Yarrowia lipolytica: one gene and its partner. The protein of the gene in region 2 purifies or fractionates together with the protein of the main gene of each other region. This does not show direct contact. Links are inferred from orthologs where the notes say so. Each region holds a gene or a part of one and is shown on either strand. Other genes may lie near its edges.

Region 1 (7,971 bases), on a different chromosome or scaffold from region 2:
ACAAAACGCATACCATTGTGATGGTATCGATGCGACGAACAAAATGCACGTTTCAGATCCAAAATCGGACCACTATTGGGCCCAAAACCCCCACACTCTCCATGAGACCCACCTGAGCTTATCTTTTTCAGCAACTGTGCGATGCGATCCGTCGTGTGACCGCATTCAGACAAGAAGCGCCTTCACAGTCACTGCACATATTTTGTTAAGACACTTGGATGGCCGAGTAATGGGCGATGATGGACAACCCAGACCAACATCACGACGTGGATGGTCCACGCAACTACCGTAACGACCGACAAAACAGCCAAGTGGGTGTTCGCCTCATCAATTGCACCTTTCAACGTCTCGTTTCTTTTTACACACACGGTTTTTTTTTGCACCGTTTTCCGCCGCTGCCATCTCAATCACCAGCCGCGTACCTCGTTCATGCATCGTGTGGAAAAAAAATTGATTTGGGTTCGAAATGTGCCATGGAGACGAGGTTGGGAGGTGCTACTGGTGGCTAATGTGGGTTGTGGGGAGGGTGGAAACGAGATAAGACGCTCGAAAAGTGGTCATGTAGCCCGAAGAAATGGGATCGTGCATTTTTCGTTTCCGAAATCGGCCCCCAAGGAGCCCTTTAAGACCCCTTGCCCACCCACTCATGTCTTTCTCAGGGTCCAATTATGACTCGGACTGTTTCCAATTTTTTTTTGTTTTTAGCGTTAAGGTTCTTTTTATTTCAATCGGCCTTTTTTTCCCTGACTGACAGTATAGCGACAGTTGCCACCGAGAATAGGTCGGTATTTCTCGCGGATATACGCCGTTTTTCCAGGAGATTGGGCGTCAATTGTACAGAATGGGTCACGTGAGTCCGATTTCCGGGCAGAAACGGTCGCTTTTTGCTCTGGAAATGGGGCTTTTAACCGTGCTGTTCGGCCTTCGGCTTCTGACAAGGTTCGTTAGGTGGAGAAGTGGCGACATTCGAAAGGAATCTGGAGGACCCAATAGTGGCCGAATCGCGCGGAAAAAAAGATGACAGATAATTGACACTCTTATAGACCATCTGTCAAAATTCCAGGCTCCTCATCACACTATTTCCACCCCCAACTCCCCCCAGGGTAAGGTCCCAAAGTCCTCTTTATGCACCCAAACCTTGAGGTTATAAATTTTTTCATTGGCCTCGATATTTATATAGGCGAGGAACACCCATGTGTCTCCTTCTCTCTCCTCTCCTCTCTCTCTCTCTCTTCCTCACGAAATCTTTTGTCCTATTCGGCAGGTGTAGCAAAGGAGTAAAAGTGAGTGAGTGAAGACGATTGAGAGATTGAGACGGATGGAAGGAAACAACCGTGGACGGACGCTTGTCTGAGTCTGGGGCCCAGTGTGTGGGGTGGTGGTAATGGCTGGGGTCCTGTGGGGTGCATTATTTAGATGTGCAGTGCCCTACATGTCGTCAGTCTTGTAGTCCCACGTATGCAGTTTACTGCCATGTTGCAGCTACTGAAGTGCTGAACGGCTGCTGAATGCTGAACGGCTGCTGAAGAGCTGAGCTGCTGCTACTGACCGACGGGTGAGCTGCTGTCCTGCCATCGACCATTGCAGATACATGTGATCTGTGGTGGTTGTGGGGATGCTGGAGTAACGTCAATGGTGCTGTTGGTAGCGTAGTGCTGCTGCTGCTTCTCTGCAACCCTACTGATGGTCTGAGCTTGCACTTCACACTCTACAACTACACCACACACACACCCTCAACACACCGAATGTCTTTTGCTACCCATTCTCATCCTCAGTAGTTAGTATTGGTATTTTTGAGAGACGACAAAAACGCTGCGACTCTGCCCGATCCACCAAAACCACGGCTTCTGCATGACGCCGCGATCGATCGATGTTGAAGATACAGTCAGTTCCTGTGCTCTCTAGACGTCACCGTAGCACACGATCACACTCCGTTCGATCATACTAACCCAGAATGACCCCCTCGCTTCCCATCTTCCCCCCCCTCAACCCCGAGGACAAGCTCATGACCCTGGAGCTTCAAGACGGCACTGCCGTTCAGGGTTACTCTTTCGGAGCCGACAAGCCTGTGGCGGGCGAGCTCGTGTTCCAAACCGGTATGGTGGGCTATCCCGAGTCCATCACCGATCCCTCCTACCAGGGTCAGATTCTGATTGTCACCTTCCCCCTGGTCGGCAACTACGGTGTCCCCTCTCGAGAGGCCGTGGACGAAGTGGTCAAGGGCCTCCCCAAGCACTTTGAGAGCAACAAGATCCATGTGGCGGGTCTTGTTGTTGCCTCGTACACCGAGGAGTACTCGCACTTCCTGGCCGAATCTTCTCTCGGTGCCTGGCTCAAGGAGCAGGACATTCCTGCCATCTACGGCGTCGACACCCGACGAATGACCAAGCACATCCGAGAGGAGGGTTCCATGCTCGGACGACTGTGCATTGACAACGCGGTCCCTGAGTGGGTCGACCCTAACAAGCTCAACCTGGTCGCCGAGGTTTCCATCAAGGAGCCCAAGCTCTACACCCCTCCTGCTGACCGAGCTATTCACGTCAACGGCAAGCCTGTTCGAATCCTGGCTGTCGACGTTGGTATGAAGTACAACCAGATCCGATGCTTTGTCAACCGAGGCGTCGAGCTTCTGGTCGTCCCTTACAACTACGACTTCCTCAACGAGGAGTACGACGGTCTCTTCCTCTCCAACGGTCCCGGAGATCCCTCCGTGCTCAAGGAAACCGCCGCTCGAATCGCCAAGGCCGTCGAGGCCAAGAAGACCCCCATCTTTGGTATCTGTCTTGGTCACCAGCTGCTTTCTCGATCTACCGGCGCCACCACTCTCAAGATGAAGTTCGGTAACCGAGGACACAACATTCCCTGCACCAACTTGCTGTCTGGTCGATGCTACATCACCTCGCAGAACCACGGTTACGCTGTGGACGCCAAGTCTCTGACTGGCGGCTGGGAGGAGCTTTTTGTCAACTCCAACGACGGCTCCAACGAGGGTATCTATCACAAGGACCTGCCCTTCTTCTCGGTGCAGTTCCACCCCGAGTCCACCCCCGGTCCCCGAGACACCGAGTTCCTGTTTGACGTTTTCATCAAGGCTGTCGTCGAGCACAAGACCTCTGGTGTTCTCAAGGCCATCGAGTTCCCCGGTGGCACCATTGAGGAGAACCGAGCCGCTCACCCCCGAGTGCAGGTCAAGAAGGTGCTTGTTTTGGGCTCTGGAGGTCTCTCCATTGGCCAGGCTGGTGAGTTCGACTACTCCGGTTCTCAGGCCATCAAGGCTCTCAAGGAGGAGGGCATCTACACCGTGCTTATCAACCCCAACATTGCCACCATCCAAACCTCCAAGGGTCTGGCCGACAAGGTGTACTTCCTGCCTGTGACCCCCGAGTTTGTGCGAAAGGTGATCAAGTACGAGCGCCCCGACGCCATCTACGTCACCTTTGGTGGCCAGACCGCTCTCAACGTTGGTATCGAGATGAAGGACGAGTTTGAGGGTCTCGGTGTCAAGGTGCTCGGTACCCCCATCGACACCGTCATCACCACCGAGGACCGAGAGCTGTTTGCCCGATCCATGGAGGAGATTGGCGAGAAGTGCGCCAAGTCGGCCACTGCTTCTTCCAAGGAAGAGGCTCTTGCTGTCGTTGAGGAGATTGGCTACCCTGTTATCGTTCGAGCTGCCTACGCTCTTGGTGGTCTAGGTTCCGGTTTTGCCGACAACGAAGCCGAGCTGATCGAGCTGTGTAACAAGGCGTTTGCCGGCTCACCTCAGATCCTGGTCGAGCGATCCATGAAGGGCTGGAAGGAGATTGAGTACGAGGTTGTTCGAGATGCCTTTGACAACTGTATCACTGTGTGTAACATGGAGAACTTCGACCCTCTCGGTATCCACACTGGTGACTCCATCGTCGTGGCCCCCTCTCAGACCCTGTCTGATGAGGACTACAACATGCTGCGAACCACCGCTGTCAACGTCATCCGACATCTCGGTGTGGTTGGTGAGTGTAACATCCAGTACGCCCTCAACCCCTTCAGCAAGGAGTATTGCATCATTGAGGTCAACGCCCGTCTGTCTCGATCTTCTGCCCTGGCTTCCAAGGCCACCGGCTACCCCCTGGCATTCATCGCTGCCAAGCTTGGTCTCAACATTCCCCTGAACGAGATTCGAAACTCCGTCACCCAGGTCACCTGTGCCTGTTTCGAGCCCTCTCTGGATTATGTTGTTGTCAAGATTCCTCGATGGGATCTCAAGAAGTTCACCCGTGTGTCTACTCTGCTGTCTTCCGCCATGAAGTCCGTCGGAGAGGTCATGTCTATCGGTCGAACCTTTGAGGAGGCCATCCAGAAGGCCATCCGGTCCACTGACTACCAGAACCTGGGTTTCAACGAGACCGAGGCTCTCATGTCGATCGACATTGACTCCGAGCTGCAGACTCCTTCTGATCAGCGACTGTTCGCAATTGCCAACGCTCTGCACTCTGGTTACACCGTGGACAAGATCTGGGAGCTCACCAACATCGACAAGTGGTTCCTTAACAAGCTGGACGGTCTGGTCAAGTTCGCCAAGGGCCTGACCAAGTACAACAACTCCAACCTGCCTGTCAACATCATGCGAGAGGCCAAGCAGCTGGGTTTCGACGATCGACAGATTGCCAAGTACACCGGCTCCAACGAGCTGGCTGTGCGTCTCAAGCGAGTCGAGGCTGGTGTCACCCCTTTCGTCAAGCAGATTGATACCGTTGCTGCTGAGTTCCCCGCCTTCACCAACTACCTTTACATGACCTACAACGCTGACTCCCACGATCTGACCTTTGACGATCACGGCACCATGGTCCTTGGTTCTGGTGTCTACCGAATCGGCTCTTCCGTCGAGTTTGACTGGTGTGCTGTTCGAGCCGTCCGAACTCTTCGAGAACAGGGCGCCAAAACCATCATGGTCAACTACAACCCCGAGACTGTGTCTACCGACTACGACGAGGCCGACCGACTCTACTTTGAGGTCATCAACATGGAGCGAATCCTCGACATTTACGAGCTGGAGCGATCCTCCGGTGTCGTCATCTCCATGGGTGGTCAGACCTCCAACAACATTGCTCTGCAGCTGTACCGACAGAACGTCAACATTCTCGGTACTTCTCCTGAGATGATCGACTCTGCCGAGAACAGATACAAGTTCTCCCGAATGCTGGACACCATTGAGGTTGACCAGCCTGCCTGGAAGGAGTTGACCTCCATCGACGAGGCCGAGGCCTTTGCCGAGAAGGTCTCTTACCCTGTGCTTGTGCGACCTTCTTACGTGCTTTCTGGTGCCGCCATGAACACCGTCTACACCCGAGACGATCTGGCCTCTTACCTCAACCAGGCTGTCGAAGTGTCTCGAGACTACCCTGTCGTCATCACCAAGTACATTGAGAACGCCAAGGAGATTGAGATGGACGCTGTTGCCAAGGACGGTAAGCTCATCATGCACGTTGTTTCCGAGCACGTTGAGAACGCTGGTGTGCACTCTGGAGATGCCACTCTGATTGTGCCTCCCCAGGATCTCGATCCCGAGACTGTCCGACGTATTGTCGTGGCCACCGCCAAGATTGGTAAGGCTCTGCAGGTGACTGGTCCCTTCAACATTCAGTTCATTGCCAAGGACAACGAAATCAAGGTCATTGAGTGCAACGTGCGAGCCTCTCGATCTTTCCCCTTCGTGTCCAAGGTGACCGGTGTTGATCTCATTGAGATGGCCACCAAGGCTATCTGCGGTTTCCCAGTCTCTCCTTACCCCCTGGAGGAGCTCCCCCAGGACTTTGTCGCCGTGAAGGTACCCCAGTTCTCCTTCTCTCGACTGTCTGGAGCTGACCCCATCCTCGGTGTCGAGATGGCCTCCACTGGTGAGGTTGCTACCTTTGGCAAGAACAAGTACGAAGCCTACCTCAAGGCTCTGCTTGCCACTGGCTTCAAGCTGCCCAAGAAGAACATTCTTCTGTCCGTTGGTTCTTACAAGGAGAAGGTTGAGCTGATGCCCTCCATCAAGCGACTCCACGAGCTCGGCTTCAAGCTGTTTGCCACTGCCGGTACAGCCGACTTCATCCAGGAGCACGGCGTTCCCGTCCAGTACCTCGATGTCCTCAACGAGGGTGCTGACGAGGAGAAGTCTGAGTACTCGCTGACTCAGCACCTGGCCAACAACATGATCGACCTATACATCAACCTGCCCTCTTCCAACCGGTTCCGACGACCCGCCAACTACATGTCCAAGGGTTACCGAACTCGACGTCTGGCTGTTGACTACGCCGTTCCTCTGGTGACCAACGTCAAGAACGCCAAGTTGCTGACCGAGGCTCTGGCTCGAAACATGACTCTGGACGTGTCCGCCACCGACTTCCAGTCGTCTCACAACACTGTGACTCTTCCTGGTCTGGTCAACGTGGCCGGTGTGGTTCCCGACATTGCCATTGCTGGCTCTTCCGACATTGCCGACTTCACCAAGGTGTCTCTGCGATCTGGCTTCACCTTCTCTCGACTGCTCCCCATGGGCGTGTCCGAGTCCATCATCGATCTGGCTTCGCTTCAGACTGCTCAGGCTAACGCCGAGGGCCACTCCTTCACAGACTATAACCTTTCTGTGGCTGCCACTGCTCACAATGCCAACGAGGTTGGTAAGGTGACCGGCAAGGTTGGTTCTCTGGTGCTGCCCTTCAGCAAGCTGGGCGACAACACCACCAAGGTGGCTGCCATCTCGGAGCACTTTGGCGCCTGGCCCGCCAACAAGCCCATTGTCACTGACGCCACCACCACCGACCTGGCCTCCATTCTGCTGCTGGCTTCCCTGCACAACCGGCCCATCCACGTGACCGGCGTTGTTGACAAGAACGACATTGTGCTGGTTGCCATGGCCAAGGAGCGAGGTCTGGCTGTCACCTGTGACGTGTCCGTCTTTGCCCTCTTCTTTGCCCGAGAGGACTACCCCGAGGCCCACTCTCTGCCCACCCAGGAGGACCAGGATGCTCTGTGGGCCAACCTTGCCACCATCGACTGCTTCTCCGTCGGCATTCTGCCTTCTCAGATGGCCAAGGAGCTCGGCCAGCCCGTTGTCGCTGGTCTTGGTGTTGCCGAGACCCTGCCTCTGCTGCTCTCTGCCGTGGCTGACAAGCGTCTCACCGTCGAGGACATTGAGGCTCGGCTCTACACCAACCCCGTTCGAATCTTCGAGCTGGTGGAGCAGCCCGACACCTCCATTGTCGTCAACCTCGGCCGAAAGTACACTTTCAAGTCCAAGGGTCTGTGGTCTCCCATGGCCGGCAAGCCTGCCACTGGCTCCGTTGAGCGAGTCATTGTCGGCGGACAGACTGTTGTCCTTGAGGGTGACCTCAACGGTGCTTCCACCGGCAAGGCCATCTCCATCCACCCCCAGGCTGCTCCCGTTGAGGCTGCTCCTGCCACCCAGGAGATGGTGCACTCCCCCACCACCCCCCGAATGGCCCGATTCTCATTCTCCTCCGACGTTCGACCCTTCGCTAACAACCACGTTGAGTCGTCTGTTGTCGGTGCCATCCCCCCCGAGGTTTCCGCTCCTTCCATTCTCAACAAGCTGCGACGAAACCCCTTCCTTGGTCAGCACATTCTCTCTGTCAACCAGTTCTCCAAGGAGAACCTGCACGACATTTTTGCTCTGGCCAACGAGCTGCGACAGGCTGTCAAGCGAGTCGGTGTTCTGGACATCCTCAAGGGTCGTCTGCTGACCACCCTCTTCTACGAGCCTTCCACCCGAACCGCCACTTCCTTTGATGCCGCCATGCAGCGACTTGGAGGCCGTGTCATTGCCGTCAACGTCGACGCCTCCTCCTACAAGAAGGGCGAGACCCTGCAGGACACTCTCCGATCTGTTGCTTGCTACTCGGACGCCATCGCTCTGCGACACCCCGACCCCGAGTCTGCCAACATCGCCGGCCGATTCTCTCCTGTCCCCGTCATCAACGGTGGCAA
Region 2 (3,221 bases):
GCTCGTGTCACCTCCATTTTCGGCCAAGTATCGTATCCAAAGACCTGAATCGTGACTGTACTTGTCCAGAATAACTGCACATCATTTGCCTCGGTTACATCATCGGTATATTGTCGGCGTAGGCCACAGCCAACATATCAGTATTCGTCTTATGCATGCTCATGGTGTTCAGACTTGGGAAACGGGACTCTGAAGTCTAGGAGATACAAGTGCTACTTGTACAAGTGCCAATATTTGTAGTAGTTCTCGTACTTGTCCAAGTTCTGAACAGCATGGCTTGCATTACAAGTAGTGGATACCCACTGATGTATCAGTTTCTTGTACAATAGTTTTTGTCTCATGCTGAATCATCAATTGTTCAAGCCATTGCTAGCCACTGAGGCTAGTTGAGAGTACCTGTATTGTACTACAGTCCACATCACCAAACAAATACTTTTATTGCACGTACTGTACAAACAAGTTTCCATGTCATCATCGTTACTATATACCCTTGTGCTATCACACCACCAAGCACTGTCCAGCCAATCAAACAATCGCTCTGCTTATTTGCCTCCAAAGAAACCAGCATACTTCTTCTTCTCCGCCTCCCGTCGTCTCTGCGCAGCCTGTTTGACCTCCTCAATCTTGTTCTTGATGGCCCCATCAGCGGGCTCGAGCTCCAGAGCAGCATTCAGATCCTTGAGAGCGTCGGTCTCGTTCTTGAGAGCGGCGTATCCAGATCCCCGTCGGAACAAAGCCTTGGCCTTCTCCTTGTTGGCCACAGTCTCGTCATCAAGAGCAGAAGTCGCGGCCTTGATGGCAACCTTGGGCTGGTTGACCTTAAGAGCCATGAGAGCCACGTTGAGGTAGCACGAGATTCGCAGAGCATGCACCTTGGCAATGTTCTCCTCGGACAAATCATCGGGAAGATAGTCCTCCAGGTAGGTGGTGGCCTTGAGGTACTTCTTGAGCGCTCCCTCGGCGTTTCCCTCCTTGAACAGCTTGGTTCCGATCGACTTGAGCTTCTCAATGGCTCCCAGCACAGAGGCAGGGTCGTTCACGTCCACATTGTCGTTATCCTTGAGGAAGTCCTCGTAGTCGTCTCCAGTGCCGTCGTCGACGTTTCCAACAGGCACCTGGAAGTCTGCGGGCAGCTCTCCGCAGTCCACAATGGTGACGGGCTGCTTGGGTCGGTCCTGCTCGCCTGTCTCAGTTCGCTCGATCTGTCGCACAATACCCTTGCCGCTGAGCAACTTGCCAAATACCACATGCTTGTTGTCGAGATGGGGGGTTTCGGTGGTGGTGATGAAGAACTGCGAGCCGTTGGTGTTGGGCCCGGCGTTGGCCATTGACAGCAAGAAGGGCTGATCATGGGGGTAAGGGAACGCCTCGTCAGGGAACTTCTCCCCGTAGATGGACTCTCCTCCGGTACCGTTGCCAGCGGTGAAGTCTCCTCCCTGCACCATAAAGTCCTTGATGACTCGGTGGAAAGACGAGCCCTTGAAATGCAGAGGGATTCCGGCCTGGGTGTTGCCCTTCTCGCCAGTGCACAGAGCTCGGAAGTTCTCGGCGGTCTTGGGCACCTTGTCGGCAAACAGCTCAAAGTAGATCTTGCCGATGGTCTTGCCGCCAATTGCGACCTCGAAAAACACTCGGGGGTTGGTCATTGTGTATGTGTGTGATGTGTAACGGGTTGGGTTGTGTTCGTGGGGGCGTTAGGCACGCCCGTACCTTTGGCCATATATGCATCTTTGGGAGGTTTGACGCATGTGCAGAAGGTAAGCTGTAGAAGGTTCGAGAATGAATCTCCCCCAGAATCGGGGTCAGCAGCTCTTTGTGTTGGTTCTGGGAGGCCCGGTTGCGACTGCTTGTGTGTCATTTCAGTCTCTACCCCTCCCTTTCATTTCCACCGTCTTTCCGGCTCCCTATCTCTGGGCTACATTTTTCACACTGCAGGCGTCAAGATCAGCGCCCAACCCAGCAAGTCAAATTGGATCAGGATCGAACTGTCTCAGTGGCTGAATGAGAAGCTGGAAGAAGGGTTGATGACGGCTAATTGTAACTTATGGAGCTATACAAGGCAAGATGACTGTACAGAGACAAAATTCCTCACTCCAGTACAAGTACTTGTACGGCCGGCGATTGTTGAGCAACTAATCATGCTAACAAGATCCCAACAAAACTACTAACTAAATTTGGAACTGATGAGATGAAAAGCTGAGATAACTTCAGCACAGGACACAAACTGCTATTATAACTGAAAAGTTGCTTAGAATGCATCAATTGAGGGTAAAATGGTACTGTTTTCTCAACGATTCCGACTCTGGAACATCGAAAAGAGACCCCCAGCCTGATTTTGATTGTAACTATATCCAACTAATTTTAAAATACAAGTCAAACGGTTTAGATGACTTCTAATGGTGGAAATTAGTTTTGACAAACTCTACTTGCTCAGCGCCATTGGCGATATCATTGTCAATCATTCACTATATACTAACTTAAAGCTTGGCGCCAACAGCCTTGTGGACCTTGAGGGCCTGTCGCATGGCCAGATCCAGCATAATCTCCTCGGATCCACCGGGGATGGCGTAGGCTCGGACCTCTCGGTACAGTCGCTCAACCTTACCTCCGAGACCGCCTCGGGTGTAGGAAAGACCACCAAAGATCTGGGAAGCCTCTCGGGCACACAGCTCGAGGGTCTGGGTGGCCTGGGCCTTGCAACCAGCAATGGCACCACCAAGTCGAAGCATGGCCTCCTCCTCGGGGAACATCTGGCACTGGAAGACCAGGTTCTCGAGCCAGGCGTGGGTGGACTCGATTCGAATGGCCATGTTGGCGAGCTTGGCTCGGATGACGGGGTGCTCAATCAGAGGCTTGCCGAAAGTCTTTCGCTTGTGGGCGTACTTGCAGGCCTCCTCGTAGCAAACTCGAGAAGCTCGGTTTGCCTGGATGATGATACCAACTCGCTCGTGGTTGAAGTTGGTCATGATGACCTTGAAACCCTTGTTCTCCTTGCCGAGCAGGTTCTCCACGGGGACCTTGACATCCTCCATGGTGACCCAGGTAGAGCCGGAAGACAGCATACCCTGAGTGTTCATTCGTCGGGTCTCAAGACCCTCCATGCCTCGCTCGAGCAGCAGAACAGAGATACCGTTCATGCCAGAGCCGGGGCCACCGGTTCGGACGGCAACAGTGAAGTAGTCAGCCCAGATACCGTTGGTGATCCACTTCTTGATACCGTT

The links.
Region 1: the proteins of YALI1_C23926g (region 2) and YALI1_E11768g purify together in Saccharomyces cerevisiae (affinity purification with mass spectrometry; 5 studies listed by BioGRID, with this or other methods). This does not show direct contact. The link is inferred for Yarrowia lipolytica from reciprocal best matches to the Saccharomyces cerevisiae genes CPR6 and URA2.

The regions. Positions count from the first base shown.
Region 1 is NC_090774.1:1,170,778-1,178,748, reverse strand, and holds the start of YALI1_E11768g (uncharacterized protein), read left to right. Parts: upstream 1-1,954; coding exon 1,955-7,971. Other genes in the region: YALI1_E11770g (uncharacterized protein), read right to left, coding at 1,466-1,699, 1,743-1,769. UniProt on the Saccharomyces cerevisiae protein: Multifunctional protein that encodes the first 2 enzymatic activities of the de novo pyrimidine pathway: carbamoylphosphate synthetase (CPSase; EC 6.3.5.5) and aspartate transcarbamylase (ATCase; EC 2.1.3.2).
Region 2 is NC_090772.1:2,390,968-2,394,188, forward strand, and holds YALI1_C23926g (uncharacterized protein), read right to left. Parts: upstream 1,647-3,221; coding exon 543-1,646; downstream 1-542. Other genes in the region: YALI1_C23948g (uncharacterized protein), read right to left, coding at 2,478-3,221. UniProt on the Saccharomyces cerevisiae protein: PPIases accelerate the folding of proteins. It catalyzes the cis-trans isomerization of proline imidic peptide bonds in oligopeptides.